Tribolium castaneum: one gene and its partners. Each later gene encodes a partner of the first gene's protein in a complex. Links are inferred from orthologs where the notes say so. Each region holds a gene or a part of one and is shown on either strand. Other genes may lie near its edges. The genes, in order: Cpsf100, Cpsf73 and Cpsf4.

Region 1 (7,393 bases):
AATTTTACATTACTAAATCTAAAGTACAGTATAAATAGATTTAAGTATCTAAAATAACACAACCGTATGCCAAAAAATCGCTGATTTATTTTAATAAACAGTTTATCGATTTATTTTGATTACACAGACCAGTGGTTTTTTGCAGACGCTCCGACATAATGTTATTCTAGCAGTACGTTTTTTAAAAAATAATCATTGACGGCAGATATTACAACACTGGATGGATGCAAACATTTATTTTCTGCAATCATGACCCAAAACCCTCAAAATCTTAAATTCTGACAATGCAAGCTATCAATGTCAGTATAATATTTGCTCCTGAAATTATTCAAAAATAAAAACATCGTTTTCTTTTGGTGTAAATCATTTTCCCAAACTTGATACTCTGCAACATTGCCTGTACGGATGCAGTGTTTTCATAATAACACCGAGTGTTTCACATCCACTAAATCGATAATAGTTTTTTGTATTTTCTTTCCTTGATTTCTACAATCAATAAAAACAATTTGCACTGAATGTATTGTAACCATAAAAGTTTTTATGAAGAATAGTGCCAAAAAGTTAACACAGGTGTTTACACATTAATTTAGTTAGTTTTAAAAGGGCTTTCAAACAATGTTTGAGCATCAGGAATCCTCGATCAGTGATCACCTAATTGAAGAACAACACTTTTTATAACGGTAAGTATTGACTGACCTACCTTTTAATAATGTAACGATAAATAAGTTTCTGTCTTTAGGCTGTTTATCTTAGATTATTTTTTATAAATGAACGTAAATATCGTATTATGCCGCAGCAAAGGGTACAAGTTTTCATCATCAAACTGTTTTTCATTTGAATTCAGAAGTTACGTGCTTTCGGCATAAGTTGGAAGAAAATGTTTCTTTAGAAGAGTTTTATTTGTGGTTACTGGTGATACGAGTGGTAAAACATGGGTAAAACAGCCGAGCCGATGTAATGAAAACAATAACAATCTCGGTATGTCGGTAAACACTAAAGCAATATGAGTAATATTTCTTCACATTTGATCATTCCCCTGTCAAAATGATAAAAGAAAAATGTAAATAAAAAATTTTTGTTGCAACAAAATTTTCGTTTTTTTAAATTTTATGTCAAAAAGTTTACGTTTTACAAAAGTATTAGCTGTTTCAAAACTATAAAAACGCCAACGTCGCATTTTACCAAATTATTTTCTTAAATAAGATTGATAAAATTGTAAAATAGTTATTAATGATCAGATCTCTCTTGAACCTATAAATTACATCGGCTATGAATAGTTTATAACAACTAATTTTGAGAGAAAATGCGACGTTGGTGTTTTTATAGTTTTGAAACAGCTAATAGTAAATATGAATGAAAAAATGATTGAATACGATGAGACAGTATAAAGAAAAAAATATTTTCTACAATAAAAGCGATAAAATCGGCTGCGTACTACATTGGTTCAGTACTTTTTTAATAACAACCATTTTGTCAATGAGACCTGCTAACCGAGAGTGGTTTAAGGTTCACCCGCCAACAAAAGATATTTACCTTGCAAGGTATGATTGAAAAAAACATCTGGAAATACATAATCAGTATAATTAGATATCGTAAATCTAAACAGTTTTAAGAAAGATTTGATCCATTGTCGAATATACAACAATGTTACTCATAAGCTTTGCAAAAAATCAAATGCAAATAATTAAAAATCTAATAATTACCCTAATAATTACTAATTCATAGTTACTTATCAACTAAATCTTTGCCATTCTGAAGTATAAAATACTGTATTTTTCTCGTATTCACACGCTGACAATAAACTTTCTTATGGTGTCACACCGGCTGATTAAAATTCGCATTTTATGAAAGGTTCATGGGTTTGTGAACCTGCAACCCTCCTCATATTGCACCCTCACAGCCAGCAATCTCAGATGCAGGTGTACAACGTTTCGCAGTTTGTTCACGATTGAAGGCCTCCTTTATCTCTAGTTATTCAGGGCCCCTGTTGAATATCTGACATCAGGAATAATTTAAATAGCAAATCAATTGCATCGCATTTGGGCATGCCTTTACTAATTGCATATTAATATGCACTTTGGTACCACCTAATTATTCACTCGTTTGGATTTTGGAATTTGAATTATTATAGCAATGAAGATAAGTGAACCATAAAAGTATTGTTTTCATCGAAGAAAAAACGCTTTATGGTGTCATAAAGACAACAATCGCCATCGATCAACACAATCAATAATTTTGGCGCAAATTCAACCGTGTTTCATTTGGCGAGCTCTCAACCTTATCATGGTGATAATCCGAATATCTCGCTTATCACCTCTCCAACACGAAAGCAAGTCTTTTCAGGTAAAGTGTCGCATTTCGAGCCACTTTGCAAATATAAATGCTGACTGCTGTCAATGCTTTAAAGCGCACTTCAGCCCCCGACTTGGCACACCGGCACCCCTCCACTGGCCCCACCGCCCCCGACTTACTTTCGCATCAATGGACCGCCGTGTCCTTCAAAAGGCCAATTTCCACCCGCTTTTCACACGAGAAAACTCACAGCAAAACAGAACACAGCAACACCACACTTTCTGTATCATCTACTGTACACAAGTAAAAAGAGATAGCCGATGATGCTCAGCGAAAAGATAACTGAATGAATTGAGTAAGGGTGGGGAGCGCGGGCTCGCCATTGGCCCATACGCCGACTCTAGTGCTAATATTAGCCTGTTTGGGACCCTTTTCCATACAATTTTCAATCATTGTCTGCTTCCAAAGCAAAAAGTTCGACTGACAAACGGGTTATTGACGGCCGGGAGTCTTAAATCGGCCATAAATCACCAACTATTGCCTGCATTCACGATATAGAGACAGACAGGTAAACCAACTCGCTATTATAATTGATTCTAACGCTGGAGCAAGTTGATAGATGGCAGCACGGTAGACTGGGACTGTCACAATTTCACAAATTTTCTTTGTTTTTTATAAAAAAATGATGCGAAATTAAAAAATGTTATCTCAGCACCCAAGTTAGTCATCTTGTAACAACTTCTGCTTTTTTCGCGCTGAAATAATAATATTTTCTGAATAGTTCTAAACTTCGGTTCGATGCATTTTCGGCCGCGAAAGACATCGAAACATTGAAGTCAGAATAAATGCTTTCCAGAAAAAAAACTCCACTACCATTCGGTGCGGGCATCCTTCAGGTATTAATTGTTCTTCATAAATGTCGTATTTTTAACAACGTGATGCGTGTATCTTTTTTCTTGTAAACATTGTGACAGTCCCAGTCTACGCTGGTGCCATCTGTCAGATAAAATAAAAGCTCCAACTTGCTCCACATTTTGGTTTGCGCCCGACAATGGAAAATAAGGGAAGTTGGTTCACCAGGACTATCTATACATGGTGCCTGCATTAATCACTCTTACGTTTTGATTGAAACGTGATAGCGCTAGACAATCTCGCAAGAAAGACAAAGACGGATGCGCGGTTGCTAAGCAATTTATAGCGTAATTGTTGTCTAATATTCTTAACTCACTTGACGCCACCGCGTGGGGGAGGGGATGAATCAGAAGGAAAAAAAAACAAAACAAAAAGGTACGAAAATTTATGAAAAACACTACAGTACTGCGTACTGCTCATACAAAAGCTCTTTCACTTTGTAATAATCTTCCGAAATGCAACCTTCGAGGATCACTCTCCCTGTTTCTACCCTCCTGATGGCTAAAGTGCCGTTGCTGCACCACAAAACTCCGCCTGAAAATTCTGAATTGATGTTGCTTTTAGCCAGGATTTGTTTGAATTCGGAAAGTTTTAGTTCGTTGATGAATACTGTGTCGTGGGGGATGTTGTCGCCGTAGGGCTCCAGAGTCAATATTTTTGACTCTTCCTCATCGACTGCAAAAAGATAAAATAACCAGTTTTTTAAATGAGAAACTGTCGAAAGAAGTGACCAAACCCACAGCTCGTATATTACCTATAACAAAAATATAAAAAAGCCCAACGTCACATTTTACCGAAATATTTTTTAAATAAGAATGATAAAATTATAAAATAGTTATTAATGATTAGATCTCTCATTGAAAGTTTAAATTACACGAACTATTATTTTTTTGAATATTAATAATAATAACAGCTAATTTTGAGAGAAAATGCGACATTGGCGTTTTTATAGTTTTCAAAGAGCTAATCTTATTGAAAAACAATCCGTCTATAAATGAATATAGGATTGTAGTAGGTATTAAAAGTTTGCCGCTTCTTTCCACAAAAAACGAACAATGTTAGTATATGAAAAAAAATTGTTTCAATGGTTGTAGAGTAGATAAAAATTGGTACTTATCAGAAATTTAATAGAAATAAAGTAATTAAATGCGGCGAATTCCAATTCCAGAACCACCTGAGATCCTCTCTTTTATAAACAGACCCTATAATTTACGTCATTGCCACAAAATTTACCTTCCATTGGTTCGTTGTCGACATTCATCCTCCTCGCATCCAACTGACTTTCCCTGACCACAATCTGGGCGTTAAGCCACGCAACTTCGGCATCTTTAGCCTTCTGGAAATTCAGTTGAGACACCAGAGCATCAGTCAGACGCACTTGATAAATATGAGTCTCAGTTGTCGCATCCACGACTTCACCCCTGACTGGAGCAAACACTCTTGCATCGAGATTCTCCTGACAGTGATTTTTTATCGTGTTAGTACTCTCAGGCGAACCTCGGACGATTATAACTCTTCTGGGCCTCAACTGAGACAAAATTTTCATGAGGGATTCCCCGTCTGAGCGACCTTCGAAGTCAATATATTGCACTTGACAGTTAACCTGGACAGTCCTGCTAAGTACGATGCACTTGGACGGCGTCTCAGCCACCTCAGCTGTAAATATTGTCAATCAGTGACCTGTGATTTTAAAATTAGGTTGGCAACATTTATTATGTGAGGATAAGACTATGCCTAAAGCCGTTCTTCGGAAATAAGTAAATAAATAAATCGTGGGTTTATCGCAGAAAGTTACCAAGTCGGACATTTATTTTTAAGTTTTATTTAAACAAAACTATACCATTTTTTGGAAAGCAACAAAATATATAGTCTGCGAATTTCTATAATTCCACTAAAAAGTGTTATGTTTATTTATGTCTTACGACTCTTATATAATTTCTCACCAAAAGTTTAATTGCAGAAAAACAACATTGATTTTATAAAAACAATTATAAACTGAACTTATTTAAAGGCTTCCTTACTACTCACGCGTTTTTTATATTCACTTTTTTTCTCGAACGCCTTTTAAATGTGTTTTCTATTAAATTTTTATTTGATTTGTTTATTCATGTTATATAAATTTAGTATAAGTTTATTTTGTAACAGTGCTAAAAAAATTGGATTTCAAACAAGGCAAAAAAGCCAACAGCGCTTTTTATGGTCAAATTTGTCACAAATTTTAACTTTTTGTAAAAAAGTATGTGTGATAAGATTCCAATGACAAATTTATTGCCAAGAAAGCCTACAAATAAAGGGTAAAAATAATTATCCAAATTGGCAGTTTCTGCCACAAATTACGAACAGAAAATAATTAATGTTGCCAACTTAAATTCAAATCATAGGTCCTTAAATTCAAACTACAATTCTATGATACTAGAATGCGACACGACATATTAATTTATTAATAAAAAATCTCCATATTAAGATACCACATACGGGGTAATTCTTAAATTGACCGACAAAATTTTATCACAGCTATCCAAGTAAAAGTGGCGACGAAATTTTATCATAACTTTTCACCGAAAAGTAGAGACGACCTGTACATATTTAAGTTTTTATTTCGTAAGGCTCACTTACGGCGCTCATGGGTTTACTTGTATTGGAAAAAATGTGCTCGTTTTTATCATGAATATCGATAATACACAGTGATCATTGTTGCAGTGATCGAGTTACATTGTCATCAAATGAATATCATGCTCTCCAAGTTTCCATCAACTGTGCTAATACTACTTACGTATACATCAGTGACGTACTCTTTATCTCCAACATAATTTAAAAAAAATATTTCGAAAATGGTTAGGCAAAGACTTTTTTTATCAATTTGCCCTATACTCTATTGATACTCCCATAGTATTTTCTTATTTAAGTATAACGCAAAAAATACCAAAACATATATTTTTTTAAAAATTACCACAATTTTATTTTGAGAATACTGATAAAGATATAAAAAAGTGGAAAAAACAAAGTTGTAGAAAATTCAGTTTTCTATAAAGTAGTCCACGAGGCCACATCTCAATTTTCAACTGATTACATTTAATTTACTTTAAAGTGTTCCCCCAAAATCCACCTACCAGTAAAATAAGCTGCTTTAAACGTCATTGTTTCTTTATTTATTCTTTCAACTTTTTTTTTCTTACATTTTTCTTGTATATATAACCCTGTATTCGCAGCGTTTTGAGAAATATAGAACAGAACGCAAATTTTTTTTCGCCGCTCATTAAGAACATGATGCATTTTTTCTAATCAATCAGCGAACTAATTAAATTAATTTGAAACAGAGAATTTGAATTTTGCTCCACCTCACTAAAGGTTTGGTTAGTTGTTTGCCTTCTGATATTTAGTTGCCCGTAAATGATACTCACGAATGACCTCTTCTTCTTTTTTGATCACAACATTTTCCTTATTATCTTCAGTTTCTGTGACGACATCAGCTAGCTTGTAGTCTTCCGGTTTGATTATTTCGCCGTATTCGTCACATTTGATTTTTTCTTCGTGAAAAGGGTAGATGGGATATTGTTTTTTCGTAACTTTGAAAAAGCCACCTGAGGTCTTGCCTTCTTGTTTTATGACAATATCGTGCCGCCCTTTTGATATGACACTCATTTCAATATCATCGTCTGAATCCGACTCCTCGCTAAAAGGGGGATTAAGTGACAGTGTAACCCACCTAACTCAAACTTACTCCCTGCTGGAATTTTCCTCTCGTTTTTCTCTTTGGCTCTTTTGGTACTCTTCAAGTTCGCTACCTTCTAACTTGACTCGTCTTTTCACAACCAAATCGATTTGGCGATTGCCCCCATTATCGACTAAATCTCGAGCTAATGTCCCCGGAGACGTCCTTAAATCATACTTTAAGCGACAAAAAAAAATTAAATAAATTACAAACCTAGTCGTGATAATTATACTATTATTAGGATTTGAGCACCACTGAAGAAACAACTCGCGAGAGAACCCACTCTCCATATCAGGCGAACTCGCGAGAACAACTTTAGGACTTGAAACCTTCTGTAGTTCGTGTAAACTGTGACACAGTTGCAGATGTTTGAACTGGAAAGGATTATTTCTCGCGCCTTCAAAACTCCTCATCAGTTTATCACTCATCCACTCAATTTGAGACTTTGCAAACTCTACAACGTTGTAACTGACATTG
Region 2 (8,770 bases), about 2.4 Mb from region 1:
CTGTAAGATTTGTGGAAATTTTTTTCAGTGCTATCGCTTGTTCGTTTCAGATGATAGCTGCCATAACCACTTACGTTATTATATTAGTTCAGTTTCATATCTAATCTTTCTATAGTACAACGGTTTTAATAAAACATTAAATTAACAATAAACTTTACAAAAAATTCAAAATTTACGTCTATTAATGTAACAGTCTGACATTTCTGACAACTACTGTCATGGGTCTCCAAAAATTAAACTTTACAAAAAATTCAAAATTTACGTCTATTAATGTAACAGTCTGACATTTCTGACAACTACTGTCATGGGTCTCCAAAAATTAAACAAGTATTTTTTATCTAGTCTTTTGTGACTTTTGTATATTTGGTTGCGTACATTAGGCGGAGGCCTTGTACAGTTATAGATATTAAACGTTGTGTATATTTTTTAATGAGAACACGAAAGTATTTCGACTGTTTACCCAATTTATTAAAAAAAGTTATTTTAATTCGAAGACATACACACAAAAAATGTTGTAGATATTGCACTGTACTGTAAAAATAAATAAAAATATGTAAGAACAGTGTAGTTATTACATAATTTGCTCAAAAATTTACAAAAATATCTAAATACAAGCGAGAATTAGTCGCTCGTGCCCTCGTGCTATGTAAAGAAAGTAAAGGAGATATTTCATAACTTTCCACCCACATAAGAAAACAAACAAACATGCGATTAATTCAAATGCAAACGACAAAAGGTGAAAGGTCAATTTTTTAATCAATTTATAAATAAATTATCAATCGTCTCAAGTGTTGTAAATACCGATAAACCACATCGCAACAGAGTTAATCAACTCTTCCAAAAGTGAGGTTAGAAACTGTTTTTTCCCTCAATTTTGCAAAATTATTTATTTCCAGATGGGCCGCCTCGTCGAATTCCTCGAAACCCACCGAGGCCTCGTCGTCCTCTTCTTCTGCCTCCCCGCCAGCTACATTTTCAACCTCTTCCTAACAATCCGCAAAACCCTCCACCGGTTTTTCTTCAGCAGCCCCACAAACCACGATTCGCGCGTCCGCGCGATCCAGAAACAAATCCAACAATGGAACAAAATCCCCAAAGACGAACGAAAACTTCTATGTACAGCGCGCCCCAACTGGCTAAGCCTCTCCACCACCTTCTACCGCAAAGACCTGTGCCACAAAATCAACGTCGATCTGTTCGACATTCTGCAATTGGATGAACACAATCTGACCGTGCGGGTCGAACCCATGGTCACTGTGGGCGAAATCACGCAATTTTTAATTCCGCGGGGGTTCACCCTAGCTGTGACACTTGAAATTGCCGACGCCACGCTCGGGGGGCTCGCGCTGGGCACCGGCATGACGACGCACTCACACAAAGTGGGGCTGTACCACGAAACGGTGGTTTCGTACGAGGTGGTTTTGCACGATGGGAGTCTTGTCAGGGCTGCGAAGAACGAAAACGCTGATCTTTATAAAACCCTGCCGTGGTCACACGGCAGTCTGGGGTTTCTTGTAGCCTTAACCTTGAGACTTGTGAAAGTCAAGCCCTTTATCAAAATGAATTATATTCCGGTCGAAGGGAAGAAAAACTACTGTGATATGATCAGGTTATTGTCAGGCGATAGTGGCGATTATCCCACTGAAGATTACGTGGAAGCGACTATTTATAGCCCTGAAAGGGCCGTAATAATGACAGGGTCTTACTCCGACTATGACCCAAACCTGCCGATAAACCACGTAAATCGCTGGTACAAACCGTGGTTTTACAAATACGTGGAAACATTCCTCAAAAAAGGCAAACACACAGAGTTGATCCCTTTACGGGAGTATTTACTGCGCCACAACCGGGCCATTTTCTGGGTCGTTGAATCAATGATCCCCTTCGGCAACAACCCCCTTTTCCGCCTATTCTTCGGCTGGTTGTTGCCCCCAAAGCCAGCATTCCTCAAATTCACGACAACCCCCGGCGTACGAGTTTACACTTTCACAAGACAAGTGTTCCAAGACATTGTCCTACCAATTCGCAAACTTGAGGATCAAATCGATAAATCGGACGAACTTTTCGACGCCTATCCACTTCTGGTCTACCCATGTCGGGTTTATGACAGAGGACCGGCTTCCGGTCAGTTGAAAGCGCCCCGGAAGGAGTATATCGTTGAGGGGACCGATTATGCAATGTACAACGATTTGGGGATTTATGGGGTGCCTGGGTATGTGAAACGCAAGGAGCGGTATAATCCTGTTTATGCGATGAGGGAGATGGAGAAGTTTACGCGTGATATTGGGGGTTTTTCGTTCTTGTATGCCGATATTTTCATGACTAGGGAAGAGTTTGAGGAAATGTTTGACTTGACGTTGTATGAGAAAGTGCGGAGGAAGTATGGGGCCGAGGGGTCGTTCCCACATCTTTACGATAAGGTCAAGCCGGAAATCGATGTGTTCGAAGTGGGGCAACGATTCGAAATCAAGTGAAAATGGCATACAAGTATTTTTCTACGATTAAAAATGTATTATTGGTTGCGTATTCATAACTATTTGTTAATCCAGTTTTTATTTTTTTATGCATATTTTACTGAAATAATATATTCTATTACGTAATAAATTATTTTTTCCATATTCCAAGCGTACTGGATAAGTTATAACCGCACCGAACCGATTTTATTAATTTTATTACACTCACACGATGTCTTGATAAGTTTCAAGTCCGTAAAAATAAACTACATTTTTTTGTACGTTTATGCATTCGTTTTTTATAACAATTTGATAAAAAACGCAGACAGAATTTACGAATTATTCATAATACGATTATTAGCTCAGTGATCATTGCATTAATTATAGTCTACTCAAGTTATGGTTCTCATTGCCAACTTGGTAATAAAATTTTCTATACTCACAGCTACAAAAACTCACCTTCAAATTCGAGATGTGCTTGAACACGAACGGGTTGTTTATTGCGATTTGTCGCTTAATTTTGTCGTTCATGGCGTTGATGTAAGTCTGGTACACAGCCATACATTTCTTAGCCAATGAGGAAGCATAATAGATGGGAATATCGTGTAAATCTGGATGTTGGCTCCAATACTCATCCAAAATTAGAAGCAACTCCTGTGCCCGTCCTAATGCAAAAACGGGGATCAAACAGCGACCGCCTCTGTTAACAATATCGTGAACTAGATTCGTAAAACGACTTTCACGTTCTTCGCGTTTTTCGTGAATGTGGGTACCGTAGGTAGATTCCTGTAATATTTTTTTGAATAAATGTTAGTCAAAATTTAAGTCGTACTGTAATTAGAACATCAGGGTGAACTGTTGGAATCTCCGCAGCCATTAAATGACGGTCTTCCTGACGCGAAAAATCGCCAGTGTATAAAATCTAAAACGAAATTTTCAATAAAGTTGTTTGAAATTTAAGTGTCGTACTTTAACGCCAGCTATCTCAATCATAAACATAGCGGCGCCCAAGACATGTCCCGCATTGTAAGCCCAGAATTTGATCCCCAAAACGTCTTTCTCTTCGTGGAAATTTATTGTCTCGATTTTGTCCATACTAGCCTCCAAGTCCGCCTCAGTGTAGAGCATCTGTTCGGTTGCAATGTTGCTGCAAATTCGAACACATTTCCGATCAAAGTAGGTCAAGGGCCAGTTTAAAAACATAAATCTTATTTTTTTTTAATAATAATTACGGAGAACTACCAGAAATTTTTTTCGCCCTTATTAAGTCACAATTTACCTGACTTTCACATAATCTGACAATAACCACCGATAAATCGCCTTGGTGGCGTGGGTCATAAAGCAGCGACCCTTGAAACTCGTTTTTTGCAAAAACCAGGGCAAAGCCCCACAATGGTCCAGGTGAAAACTGGAATTTCACGTTACAGTTATTAATGTACGAAAAAAAAATGTTTCGTACTGTGATATTAGCAACAAATCGATTTCGTCGGCTTCAATTAAATCAACGAAAGGCAACGCATCCATGCCTGAGAGCCCAGGATGGATTCCACAATCAAGCTACAAGTTTAAAGTCTTATAAACGAATAAAAATCGATCAAACTGACCATAATTTTTTTCCCTTTAAATTCAAGCATTATGCAAGACCGTCCCACTTCCTGACCGGCACCCCTACAAGACAGTGTTAACACAAAATTGTAATTTTTGGAATAATTACAGTGGCCTAATGGTCAAAAGGTCGCTTTCTTCGGCTGGGACTTGGGAATCGGGTTTGCGTTTATTGGACATGATTTCCAAAGCCAAAAACTTTATTTTTTATGCAGCTTTCATGATACACATAACCTAAAAAAATCACTTTCGAAATCGGGGGAATTTTAGGTTTTGAGGTTGGTACAAAATTTAAATTCAAATCAACACGTTTTTCCACCTTGCTGTCTCCCTTAGACCTTATCATACACACCTAAAATGTGCCTGAATTCTGGGTGTTTTGGGGGTTTCACACAAAAAGTCACTTTTTTAATAATCATCTATTTCTACAAACAAAATCGCCTAATACATTTTGGTCTTGCATTATACAGAAATAAAAAATTGGAAACAGTTTTGCTTCATTATAACAATCTCAACATAATAATAATCAGCTCATCCTATTATTAGAACAAATCTCCGCCTATAGTACAAGTGCAATATGTTTATAGCACTGACTTCTAATGGTACAGTATTGAGAAATTTCCATTATTATCGTTATTGTTGCTTTGAAAGTCACGTTAAAAACGTGCTTGAAAGACATTTCTTCTATATAATTATAACAACGCGCTAAACGTCTCTCAAGCAATTCTTTTTCAACCAAATAAAATATAAATAAACAAAAAATCTTGTAATAATACGTGTGCATTGTCAGCTTAGTGTTTGGCTACGAAGAACCCTATTTCACAATGGCAACATAAAGTAATTCGCTACGTTTTTATGAGGACTTATTTTGATTCAAATGATAACGTAAAATAAATAATCAGTCAATCTCGATGATGAAATGAAACCTAAAATAAATGTGCGCTCGGTAATAGTAACAAAATTAACGCATCACAATAATAAAACACAAAACCCATGATATGTTAATTCTGCAACTATTAACAAAATACTGAAAGCTGCACGACAGTACGCATTGTTACGTATAAAACGCTTTGATACTTGAAAATCCTACAATTAAATGGCATTTACACAACCAAAAATCGCAGCTGAATAAAACAGCTTCCTTAATCCGTGAAGGAAAGAAAGGAAAAAAAATAGACGGCGCCACTTTAATCAAGGAAGCTGCAGAATAAAATAACTTTTGTTCGTTTTGGCCTTTGGACGCGAGTCCGGACACATCACAATTTCAATAAATGCATGGACATTAGACAACCTAATAAATTGTGCGGTGGCACTTTGTAAATAAATAAAGTATAAAGTTTATAACCGATAGTACGTACGTTATGAATATTATATTTTTCGAGACATTCATAGTTATAGACCTAAGCAAGATATTACACGGACCCTATACATATGCAATATAAATGCGTTCGCGTACATTACGATGCTATCTGTCTTCAAGCTCTCACGTCTGCAAAGCCGTGGTGATTTCGTCGTGGATCGTTGCTAGTTCTTGTACTCGCGACGCCAGCTGCGAATTCAGCGTGAGGAGGATTTGGCGCTGAGATTCGTGGGCGCTGAGAGCGATGTCCAGCTCGGATTGGGCCAATTTTGCCGTCGCCTGGAGCTCCTGGTTTTCCTTCTGCAACGCCTGCGGGAAAATCACAGTTTTTCAAAGAATTTTTTTTTCACAAAGTAACAGATCATTTTTTTGTGTACGGGAAAATTGAAAAGCAAATTTGAGAAATACTACAAATACTTCTAGTTGCCCAAAAGAAAAAAATATGTGACAAACGAAAGTTTCTAACTCGCTTCATTTCGATGCTTTAAAGTTACCCCAAATTTTTAAGATATGAGCGTAGAATGCAAGAAAAACTAAATTTTTATTTTTTCCAAATTTTTGACTTTACCTGAATATCCGACGGTTTCTGGAAAGCCAACTGCTTGAATTCGCTATTTTTGGCGTCCAGCTCGGCCTCCATCTGTTCGAGGCGAATTCGCAGACTTTGAATTTCTTGGCGCAGTTCATCGGCAATGTCGCCGCCACCTGATCAATAAACAAAACTCTCAATTGTTCTAGTTGTGGGAGAAAACGAAACCGCGTGTCAAATAAACTAGATGCAATAATTATTATCATTTGATTGCTTTCCCATTTACCATATTGCAGAAATGCAATTTGCCATATGTTGCCGACTTTAAGCACCGATTCTTATGCAATTATTACACCGATTTGAATAAACAATTGACAGCCAACTCACCTTTACTATTTTCCAAATCTGCTTGATACTTCGCTTTCATTCGCATATTTTCTTCCTTAAGACTTGCCAATTGTCGTTTCCACTCATCGACGTTTGCCGTGCTTTCTTGAAGTGCACTTGTTAGTCTTGCATTGTTGCTCTTTAACGTGGCCAACTCGATTTCCCATTTTTTAGCATTGGCCGAACTGAAACCATCAATCAGACAAAACGTTTTACTAAATATTAGCACTACTAATCCAATTTCATAACTCTTCCCATATTTAGTTTGCTAAATGGGGCGGAAATAATAACAATCACGTAATATTTATTAGAACATTATTAGTGAAACTGGAAACAATTAAGCAACAACTTCACATCCTTATCCCCAGGCGAAAAACTCGAGATTTTATCGCTTCTTTGCCAACCGGAAGGAAAATGCAATTTTCATCGAATTTAGGAAATGCACTGCGAAAATTAATGTTCCCCTTAATATCGAATTAATAAACAATTACGTAACGGCGCTTGGTGAAGCAGAACGCATATTTTTTCCGTCCGTAACTGGGCTCCTGTCAATGTTCTCGTTTAATAAAAACCTATTATTTTTATTATATAAATTAATGTACCATTTCATGAATTTGCAAAGTACGGCTTTCTTTAGCATAAAAATTCAATAAAAAACGCAAATGTATGGATATTAATGCACAAAGACCCTAATTGCATTCTTTATTGTTATTTAATACCGAAATTGCAAATATTCGGCGTAATGAAAAAATCGTAGCAAAGAACGGTTCAACAGAAGTATTGTTTTTTGTTTTCATAATTGCAATTAAAGCGAGTATGTGTATATTAGCTCTGAATTTAATTATTCACGCACAATTTCTTTACAAAACCCAATTACATTCATTAGTTTATTCACGTTTTATTTACACTTTCGTGAACGTTGTGCAAATTGTTGCAAGATCAAAGATAGGTTCCCGATAATCTGCATCTTGCCAAACACGAAAAACGTTATTTTAAGCAAAAAATTGAAAAACCCGGCACATGTTTGCCGAATTTTTAGTAATTTTTCCATCAATCACAACTTCAGAATGTTTTATAGAATAGTTACTCCATATTAAGATCAATGTAAGTTTTTAGTCACTTTACTTTTTCGTTGGTTTAAAAATTCAAAAATGGCACAGGCCTCTGACGGACTGTGTAATTTATGTGTGCTTATCGATCAAAAAAGCGTAACAGTTTCACTTTTTCTGACGATATGCGAACCTATAATTTATTGCGTCTCGAATGCAACAAGGCAAATCAGCAACGTTTTTTCGCAACGGACGAAAAACCGAACCGATGCAACAACGTCAGAGAAAGTGAGGAAGACTGAAGGGAGGCTCTGGTGTGGAGGCAGCTATAAAAACCAAACGCAACCACACATCGACATCAGTTCATCAACAAACATCACCAAAAATGTTCAATCAAGTAAAATTATGTACAGTGCTAACTAAGCCAGTGACTAATCCTTGTTTTTAAGGTGTTCGTCATCGCTACCCTTTTCCTGGCGGCTTACGCCGGTTATTTGGGTGAATTGGAGGGTTACGGGGGCCACATAGAAGGGGGCGAGATCGAGTATGGGGGCCATCACGAGGAACACCATCACGTAAGTAAATGAGACAGGTTTCCCGAGTGACTTATTTATTGGTAAATTAGGAACACCCTAAATACCAATTCAACTACGCTGTGCATGACCCTCACACCGGCGATGAGAAACAACACCACGAAGAACGTGATGGTGACCAAGTTAAAGGGACTTACACTTTGAAGGTTGCAAAAAAGTGCGCTTGTTGACATAAATAATCGACGGTTTTTAGGAGGCTGATGGCACTACTCGTGTTGTGGAATATAAAGCCGATAAACATAGTGGATTTAACGCCGTTGTGCACAAAATTGGCGAACCACACCACCAGCACCAACAAATTGGACACATCGGGGGCGGCTATGGCGGACACTATTAATTTGTTTTGTGATACTTTTTTTACCTCAAGTTTTTGTACTCTAAATTTAATAAATTTGTTATGAAATTGACTGGTTTTGTGTGAACAAAAACGGCAAACTTTGTCTTATTGATATCTAGAAACCTTGACCACCGTTCGAAAGTTGGTCCGACATTCTTGAGTCACCCTGTAGATCAGCTCAGGATTTCTTGATAAAAAATGCTATACAAGAACAAATAAAAAAACTATGAAACACGAAACAAAAAAACATAATTCTCCACGACACTATACTGAGTACAAAGTGAATTTTAATAGTTGTACTGTAACATTTTTAAAAAGAAGTCAAAACAGCTGAAATTCTGAAATATAAAGAGTGCAACCGGTACTTTGGCGTTGGAAAATTCGTCAAAAAATGCAATTTGTCTTTTGAATACTTATTACCAAATTTACATAAACAATCAATAAATAAATAAATAAA
Region 3 (7,536 bases), on another chromosome or scaffold:
ACCACGCTGAATACACCAGTTCTCGTCTGATCACTGAAGTTAAGCAGCGTCGGGCGCGGTTAGTACTTGGATGGGTGACCGCTTGGGAACACCGCGTGCCGTTGCCTCCTTTTTTGTTTTATAACGCCTTAAATAAAACTTTTAGAACAGTTAATCTACTCTGAGGACGAGAAAACGTTCAGGCAACGTCCATACCACGCTGAATACACCAGTTCTCGTCTGATCACTGAAGTTAAGCAGCGTCGGGCGCGGTTAGTACTTGGATGGGTGACCGCTTGGGAACACCGCGTGCCGTTGCCTCCTTTTTTGTTTTATAACGCCTTAAATAAAACTTTTAGAACAGTTAATCTACTCTGAGGCCGAGAAAATTTTCAGGCAACGTCCATACCACGCTGAATACACCAGTTCTCGTCTGATCACTGAAGTTAAGCAGCGTCGGGCGCGGTTAGTACTTGGATGGGTGACCGCTTGGGAACACCGCGTGCCGTTGCCTCCTTTTTTGTTTTATAACGCCTTAAATAAAACTTTTAGAACAGTTAATCTACTCTGAGGACGAGAAAACGTTCAGGCAACGTCCATACCACGCTGAATACACCAGTTCTCGTCTGATCACTGAAGTTAAGCAGCGTCGGGCGCGGTTAGTACTTGGATGGGTGACCGCTTGGGAACACCGCGTGCCGTTGCCTCCTTTTTTGTTTTATAACGCCTTAAATAAAACTTTTAGGACAGCTAATCTACTCTGAGGACGAGAAAACGTTCAGGCAACGTCCATACCACGCTGAATACACCAGTTCTCGTCTGATCACTGAAGTTAAGCAGCGTCGGGCGCGGTTAGTACTTGGATGGGTGACCGCTTGGGAACACCGCGTGCCGTTGCCTCCTTTTTTGTTTTATAACGCCTTAAATAAAACTTTTAGAACAGTTAATCTCCTCTGAGGCCGAGAAAATTTTCAGGCAACGTCCATACCACGCTGAATACACCAGTTCTCGTCTGATCACTGAAGTTAAGCAGCGTCGGGCGCGGTTAGTACTTGGATGGGTGACCGCTTGGGAACACCGCGTGCCGTTGCCTCCTTTTTTGTTTTATAACGCCTTAAATAAAACTTTTAGGACAGCTAATCTACTCTGAGGACGAGAAAACGTTCAGGCAACGTCCATACCACGCTGAATACACCAGTTCTCGTCTGATCACTGAAGTTAAGCAGCGTCGGGCGCGGTTAGTACTTGGATGGGTGACCGCTTGGGAACACCGCGTGCCGTTGCCTCCTTTTTTGTTTTATAACGCCTTAAATAAAACTTTTAGAACAGTTAATCTACTCTGAGGACGAAAAAACGTTCAGGCAACGTCCATACCACGCTGAATACACCAGTTCTCGTCTGATCACTGAAGTTAAGCAGCGTCGGGCGCGGTTAGTACTTGGATGGGTGACCGCTTGGGAACACCGCGTGCCGTTGCCTCCTTTTTTGTTTTATAACGCCTTAAATAAAACTTTTAGAACAGTTAATCTACTCTGAGGACGAGAAAACGTTCAGGCAACGTCCATACCACGCTGAATACACCAGTTCTCGTCTGATCACTGAAGTTAAGCAGCGTCGGGCGCGGTTAGTACTTGGATGGGTGACCGCTTGGGAACACCGCGTGCCGTTGCCTCCTTTTTTGGTTTGTAACGCCTTAAATAAAACTTTTAGGACAGTTAATCTCCTGTGAGGCCGAGAAAATTTTCAGGCAACGTCCATACCACGCTGAATACACCAGTTCTCGTCTGATCACTGAAGTTAAGCAGCGTCGGGCGCGGTTAGTACTTGGATGGGTGACCGCTTGGGAACACCGCGTGCCGTTGCCTCCTTTTTTGTTTTATAACGCCTTAAATAAAACTTTTAGAACAGTTAATCTACTCTGAGGACGAGAAAACGTTCAGGCAACGTCCATACCACGCTGAATACACCAGTTCTCGTCTGATCACTGAAGTTAAGCAGCGTCGGGCGCGGTTAGTACTTGGATGGGTGACCGCTTGGGAACACCGCGTGCCGTTGCCTCCTTTTTTGGTTTGTAACGCCTTAAATAAAACTTTTAGGACAGTTAATCTCCTGTGAGGCCGAGAAAATTTTCAGGCAACGTCCATACCACGCTGAATACACCAGTTCTCGTCTGATCACTGAAGTTAAGCAGCGTCGGGCGCGGTTAGTACTTGGATGGGTGACCGCTTGGGAACACCGCGTGCCGTTGCCTCCTTTTTTGTTTTGTAACGTCTTAAATAAAACTTTTAGGACAGCTAATCTACTCTGAGGACGAGAAAACGTTCAGGCAACGTCCATACCACGCTGAATACACCAGTTCTCGTCTGATCACTGAAGTTAAGCAGCGTCGGGCGCGGTTAGTACTTGGATGGGTGACCGCTTGGGAACACCGCGTGCCGTTGCCTCCTTTTTTGTTTTGTAACGTCTTAAATAAAACTTTTAGGACAGCTAATCTACTCTGAGGACGAGAAAACGTTCAGGCAACGTCCATACCACGCTGAATACACCAGTTCTCGTCTGATCACTGAAGTTAAGCAGCGTCGGGCGCGGTTAGTACTTGGATGGGTGACCGCTTGGGAACACCGCGTGCCGTTGCCTCCTTTTTTGTTTTGTAACGTCTTAAATAAAACTTTTAGGACAGCTAATCTACTCTGAGGACGAGAAAACGTTCAGGCAACGTCCATACCACGCTGAATACACCAGTTCTCGTCTGATCACTGAAGTTAAGCAGCGTCGGGCGCGGTTAGTACTTGGATGGGTGACCGCTTGGGAACACCGCGTGCCGTTGCCTCCTTTTTTGTTTTATAACGCTTTAAATAAAACTTTAGGACAGTTAATCTACTCTGAGGACGAGAAAATGTTCAATGAGAGAAATTTCATTTCTCTCACCAAGTTTAATGGTATAATGTACCTAAAAAACTGCTCCTGTAAGATAATAGTATATTATATTATAAGAGATAGAAATGGATCATTATATGTAAGTGAGAATTTGACACACGAGTGCGCTTGTGCTCGAGTGGGAGTGTCCCACGAGCTTTAAAACGGTATTTCGATCACGTGTGATATACGACGTTTTATCTTACACGTGCATTAGAAAAAAATCCAAAAAATTCAAGTAAATATCCGCCTGTAACATTAGCATCAGTTTTCGTAGTGATGAAATGAACAGACTCATTGTTTTCTCCAATTTTCTCTAGATTTACTCACTTGTGAGAACAACTCTAACAGCTTTATCTCACCTCACAAACAATGGTATAATGTACCTAAAAAACTACGCCTGTAACCTAAGAAAAATAATTAGATTAATTTTTGGAAAAAGGCGAAATAAATCTACTCGTAAAAATTGTTGTTTATTTTCCTATAGAATAAATACAATAGTTTGAATAACTTTAAATATTATTTAAAAACGATCACCACTCTTATTGATCACCTTGTCCATCCTGATTGCTCTTGGCCTGTGACAAAAACGCCAAGTGCCCTTTAGGGCACCGATTTGCGTAGTGTCCCTTTGTACCACACTTGTAACAAGTAACATCTTCCAGCTTCTTAGGCAACATTTTCTGCAAATAAGAGTTCTGAGGCTCATAATGATCATTCTGTTTTCGATTCTCGTCATTTAAGGCGTCTCTGTTATCACTATTCATCTTATTACAATGTATCGCCTTGTGTCCATGTTCGTTACAAAAGTGACAAATAATAACAGGAGTGGCTTTCTTGTCCTTCTGCACCTGATCAGGGGGCGCAGGCAACTCAAACCTTGGGTGCATATACTTGCAGTTTGGCCCTTCGGGGCAAAAGCCTGCCAAGTAATTCGTACACAAAACCCTGCGCACGTGTCTGTGACGACAGTGGGGCCCATGTCGACAAAACCCACGGTCATACCAAGGACAATCCTTGATTTTACTCTCAGGGTCTATGTGTAAAAACGGACACTCTTTATTGTGACAAGCGTTAAATCTCGAATAGAAGTAACACTCGGGCATTTTTGTCATGTCATACTCGTGTAAAAACTCGCACTGGTCGCCTTTCTTGCAAAGACCTCTCAGCCAGTGTTTGCACACAATGGTTCGGTCGCCTCGCACGTGACGAAACGGACATTGGGGGCCCTTTTGACAGCCTTGTATTGAAGTGTAAAACTGACAAACGGCTGCAATTGATTCTGAAAGCAAAAAACGAGAAAATTATATTTTCGACATAACCTCACTTACTGTCCATTCCGGGAAATGGTAAGGGCAAAGCGCCGAATTGCTCATCTAGAGCCACTTCAATGTCGAATTTTATGTGGTCCACGTTGGCCACAATGCACTCCATTTCGATATTTGTAGTTTAATATTACAAAAAATGAAAACGCAACACCTTTTATTTTAACCACAACAAAATCAACTATTTGACATGTAGTCCTGCCACCATAGCCTGCCACCAGTTGGTCTAGATTGGCAGCTCTGGTTTAGTGTAAAAAATTTCAAATTCAAAAAAAAACTTAGCAAGTTTACCGTGTTCCAATCTCTGGAAAACGATACAATAATATAATAAGGAACGGCTTTAAATAAGGAAAGTAAAAAATTAGATGATCCGTTGATAGGCAGTCCGTATAGTGTGTTGCCTATCTAAAAATTACCAAAAAAAATTTATTTGCGAAACTCAAAATTAAGTGTAAATATACATTGCGAGTCAATTGTGGCTTATTTCTGAAGATTTTTTGATGCAACTAGTAATACTAGGATAATACTGGTTCCAGTTGACCACTAAATTGTCAAAAAAAAAAACAAATTTAATCCACAATTGCATTGTTCTGGGTAAAGGTTGTTCCATATCTGGTGGCGAACTGGCAGTGATATAAAAAAAAACTCTTGAAATGCACCCACTTCATTAAAAGAATGAAATAAAGGGGGTGCATTTTTTTCTCTAAAATTTACTTATTTACTTTAACATAAATTTTGAGGACGAAGATACATAGAAATATTACTATTATTATATTGTTCAATATTCTTATCTTTTTATTGTGACGCCTGTGGGCATTTTTTTTTTAATTAAACATATCTATCTTCAATGCTAAAATTCAGTCATTTTTGGCAATGTCAGTTCGCCACCAGGGGCCCGTTTCATAAAAACTACAAGTTGATTTTTACAAGTGACAAGTAAATCACTTGTAAAAAGTTTTATAAAATAGGCCGCAGATTTGGAATAAGCCTTATTGTCAAGTTTGTGTAACAGTTTTCCTAAAATTTCATTATGGACTAATTAGCGTTTCAAAATGCCAACGACGCCCTTTACCGAATTATTTTTCTAAATAACGTTTACAAAAATGTAAAATAGTTGAAATAATAAATTACATCAGCTAATAATTTTTTGAAGCGCATGAATAACATAACAAATAATTTTTAGACAAAATGCGACGTTAGCACTTCAATAGTCTTGAAACAGTTAGTATGATTTAAAAAATAAAAAACCACTAGGAGCCATTTGTTGTATACAAGGTCCGAAAATTGATTGTTTTGATAAAAATACATTGTTTAATGTATAGAGAATAACGACAATTATAAAAAAATAACAACTATTATTACTAAGATGAACAGGTGCATTTTAGGTTTTCAAATAAAAAATCGTTAAAACTAAAAGGCTTTAAAAAACGAATAACACATTCTTAAGCTCGTTATTCGAGAAAATAATTATGGTCAAAACCCACATCCCGCTATATCATTTGCTTTCGACAACAACAAAGTTAATCAAAAGTTGACATTTTAGCGAAATTTAATCTAAAAAAATATCTTCCTTATTACACAGAGTGATTCAAAAGTGATGAACAATCTCCCGGAAGCTGATAAAGGAAGCAAACTGAATTAAAAGTTCCTATGAGCCTTCTATCACGAGATATAACTCTTCAAGGTTACGTTTTTGGTGCTTCAGATCATATTTACAAATGTCTTATGATGTACAAAACAATTCAAAAACTTGCCAATTTGATATATTACATTCGACACCGTAGGAAACAAAAAAAACAATCGATACCTTTGCTGAGGAAAACAAATTCAAAAAATATACAAAAATTAAGTTCTTGAAAGAAAATCTGATTTCATTTTTTGTGCAGCCTGTATAAAAAACACATCTGAAACAAAGACACTGCAGAGGTACTTTTTCATAAAAAATTTAAAAATGTAATTTTTTTAATAATTTGTTTACCTGTAATTACATAATAGAAATTTTAGTTGGCTGACATTTATGATGTGCTTATTTTTTTCTAAATTTAAAAATATAAATAATAATATAATAATATAAATAAATAATATAAATAATATAAATAATATAAATAATAATGTAGATATAAATAATAAATTATAAATAAAAAAACAATTCGATGTTTTTATTATACGTATTTAAAAAGAAAAAACAAGGTTTAAGAGTAATTGGCCATGGAAAAACTATTTAACATAAAGGGTTTATATATTCTAATGAACGACTGGTTAAATAAAAAAACTAAACCATGAAAAAATTGTTACTCCTTACAAAATCCGAAAAATTTTGCATCTGACTAGTAATTTACTTATTTCCCACATTCTCAATTCAAGCAGCACTCCGTGCACTCGTGCTGTAAACAAATTGCTTACAAAGATTTAGGTACAAAAACAATTATTTCAAGTAAATAACTGTAATTGTCGCAGATTATTTTTTTTTAATTGATGTCGAGAAAACTGAAAAACAAGTAACACCACCGTTAGATAGCATTATCTTGAATGTCTTGATGGTTTAGTGAACTATAATGGAAATAACAAATATTTTTTAATTTTTTTCGATAAATAAAATTAAAGAGGCTATCATAGAATTATGTTTTTTCTGACACTTCCATGATTAACTAGAGAATAAATGGCAATGTAAGCTTCTCACTTTAGGTCCAAAAACAGAAGTCGATTTAATTAATTATTCTGCTATTGTATATCATGTTTCTTAACAATATACAGTCGAAAAAATAAGTATTAATTTTATTAAGATAGCTAAAAATAGTTTGCTTTGGCTCAAATGCCCGAACAGGTAAATAAAAAAAATACACAATTCTCGACTTGATTACACTTTTTGTATTTTGAGTATTGAGTTAATGAGCCCCATTTTTTAACCATTTCGATATATCTTACAACTGTTGAAATGACAATACCAAGAAAAGATGATATTGATTTTTTTAGATTTCATTAAAATGTCATCTTTTGTTTAAAAAAAATTATATAAAAAAATTGCAACACCTGTCCATGTCAATTAAATACGACTAAAAGAAAAACTACTTCAGGACAAAGGTCCAAGAAATAAGAAGCGACTTGTACTGAATTTATTGTTATAATCATATTGTTGAAAGTAGGAAGATGAGCCGCTATAAGCTCGTAATTTCAACTTAAACTTAATATATACAAAATAACAAACAAATTAATTACATTAAATCCAGCTACGAATTATAAGAACTAGAAGAAAAAGCACCTTCTTATTCTGCCACTTTAATACTGCACTTTTAAAGCACAGATGGCACAGTATAAA

The links.
Region 2: Cpsf100 (region 1) and Cpsf73 share a complex: the UniProt entries of both Drosophila melanogaster proteins name them as parts of the cleavage and polyadenylation specificity factor (CPSF) complex. The link is inferred for Tribolium castaneum from reciprocal best matches to the Drosophila melanogaster genes Cpsf100 and Cpsf73.
Region 3: Cpsf100 (region 1) and Cpsf4 share a complex: the UniProt entries of both Drosophila melanogaster proteins name them as parts of the cleavage and polyadenylation specificity factor (CPSF) complex. The link is inferred for Tribolium castaneum from reciprocal best matches to the Drosophila melanogaster genes Cpsf100 and Clp.

Annotation. Positions count from the first base shown.
Region 1 is NC_087396.1:18,211,162-18,218,554, reverse strand, and holds the end of Cpsf100 (probable cleavage and polyadenylation specificity factor subunit 2), read right to left. Parts: coding exon 7,130-7,393; intron 7,082-7,129; coding exon 6,926-7,081; intron 6,878-6,925; coding exon 6,606-6,877; intron 4,861-6,605; coding exon 4,438-4,860; intron 3,880-4,437; coding exon 3,602-3,879; 3' UTR 3,576-3,601; downstream 1-3,575. UniProt on the Drosophila melanogaster protein: Component of the cleavage and polyadenylation specificity factor (CPSF) complex that plays a key role in pre-mRNA 3'-end formation, recognizing the AAUAAA signal sequence and interacting with poly(A) polymerase and other factors to bring about cleavage and poly(A) addition.
Region 2 is NC_087396.1:20,615,564-20,624,333, reverse strand, and holds the start of Cpsf73 (cleavage and polyadenylation specificity factor 73), read right to left. Parts: upstream 4,325-8,770; 5' UTR 4,239-4,324; coding exon 4,168-4,238; intron 4,122-4,167; coding exon 4,058-4,121; intron 4,011-4,057; coding exon 3,913-4,010; intron 3,862-3,912; coding exon 3,733-3,861; intron 3,601-3,732; coding exon 3,423-3,600; intron 3,376-3,422; coding exon 3,286-3,375; intron 3,240-3,285; coding exon 2,913-3,239; intron 2,619-2,912; exon of another isoform or gene 2,475-2,618; coding exon of another isoform or gene 897-2,474; intron 844-896; exon of another isoform or gene 660-843; intron 190-659; exon of another isoform or gene 51-189; intron 3-50; exon of another isoform or gene 1-2. Other genes in the region: delta(24)-sterol reductase, read left to right, coding at 897-2,474; cuticle protein 8, read left to right, coding at 7,769-7,780, 7,833-7,958, 8,009-8,122, 8,170-8,313; homer protein homolog 2, read right to left, coding at 5,542-5,727, 5,987-6,123, 6,335-6,519. UniProt on the Drosophila melanogaster protein: Component of the cleavage and polyadenylation specificity factor (CPSF) complex that plays a key role in pre-mRNA 3'-end formation, recognizing the AAUAAA signal sequence and interacting with poly(A) polymerase and other factors to bring about cleavage and poly(A) addition.
Region 3 is NC_087394.1:10,087,017-10,094,552, forward strand, and holds Cpsf4 (cleavage and polyadenylation specific factor 4, 30kDa), read right to left. Parts: upstream 4,388-7,536; 5' UTR 4,330-4,387; coding exon 4,227-4,329; intron 4,178-4,226; coding exon 3,438-4,177; 3' UTR 3,356-3,437; downstream 1-3,355. UniProt on the Drosophila melanogaster protein: Component of the cleavage and polyadenylation specificity factor (CPSF) complex that plays a key role in pre-mRNA 3'-end formation, recognizing the AAUAAA signal sequence and interacting with poly(A) polymerase and other factors to bring about cleavage and poly(A) addition.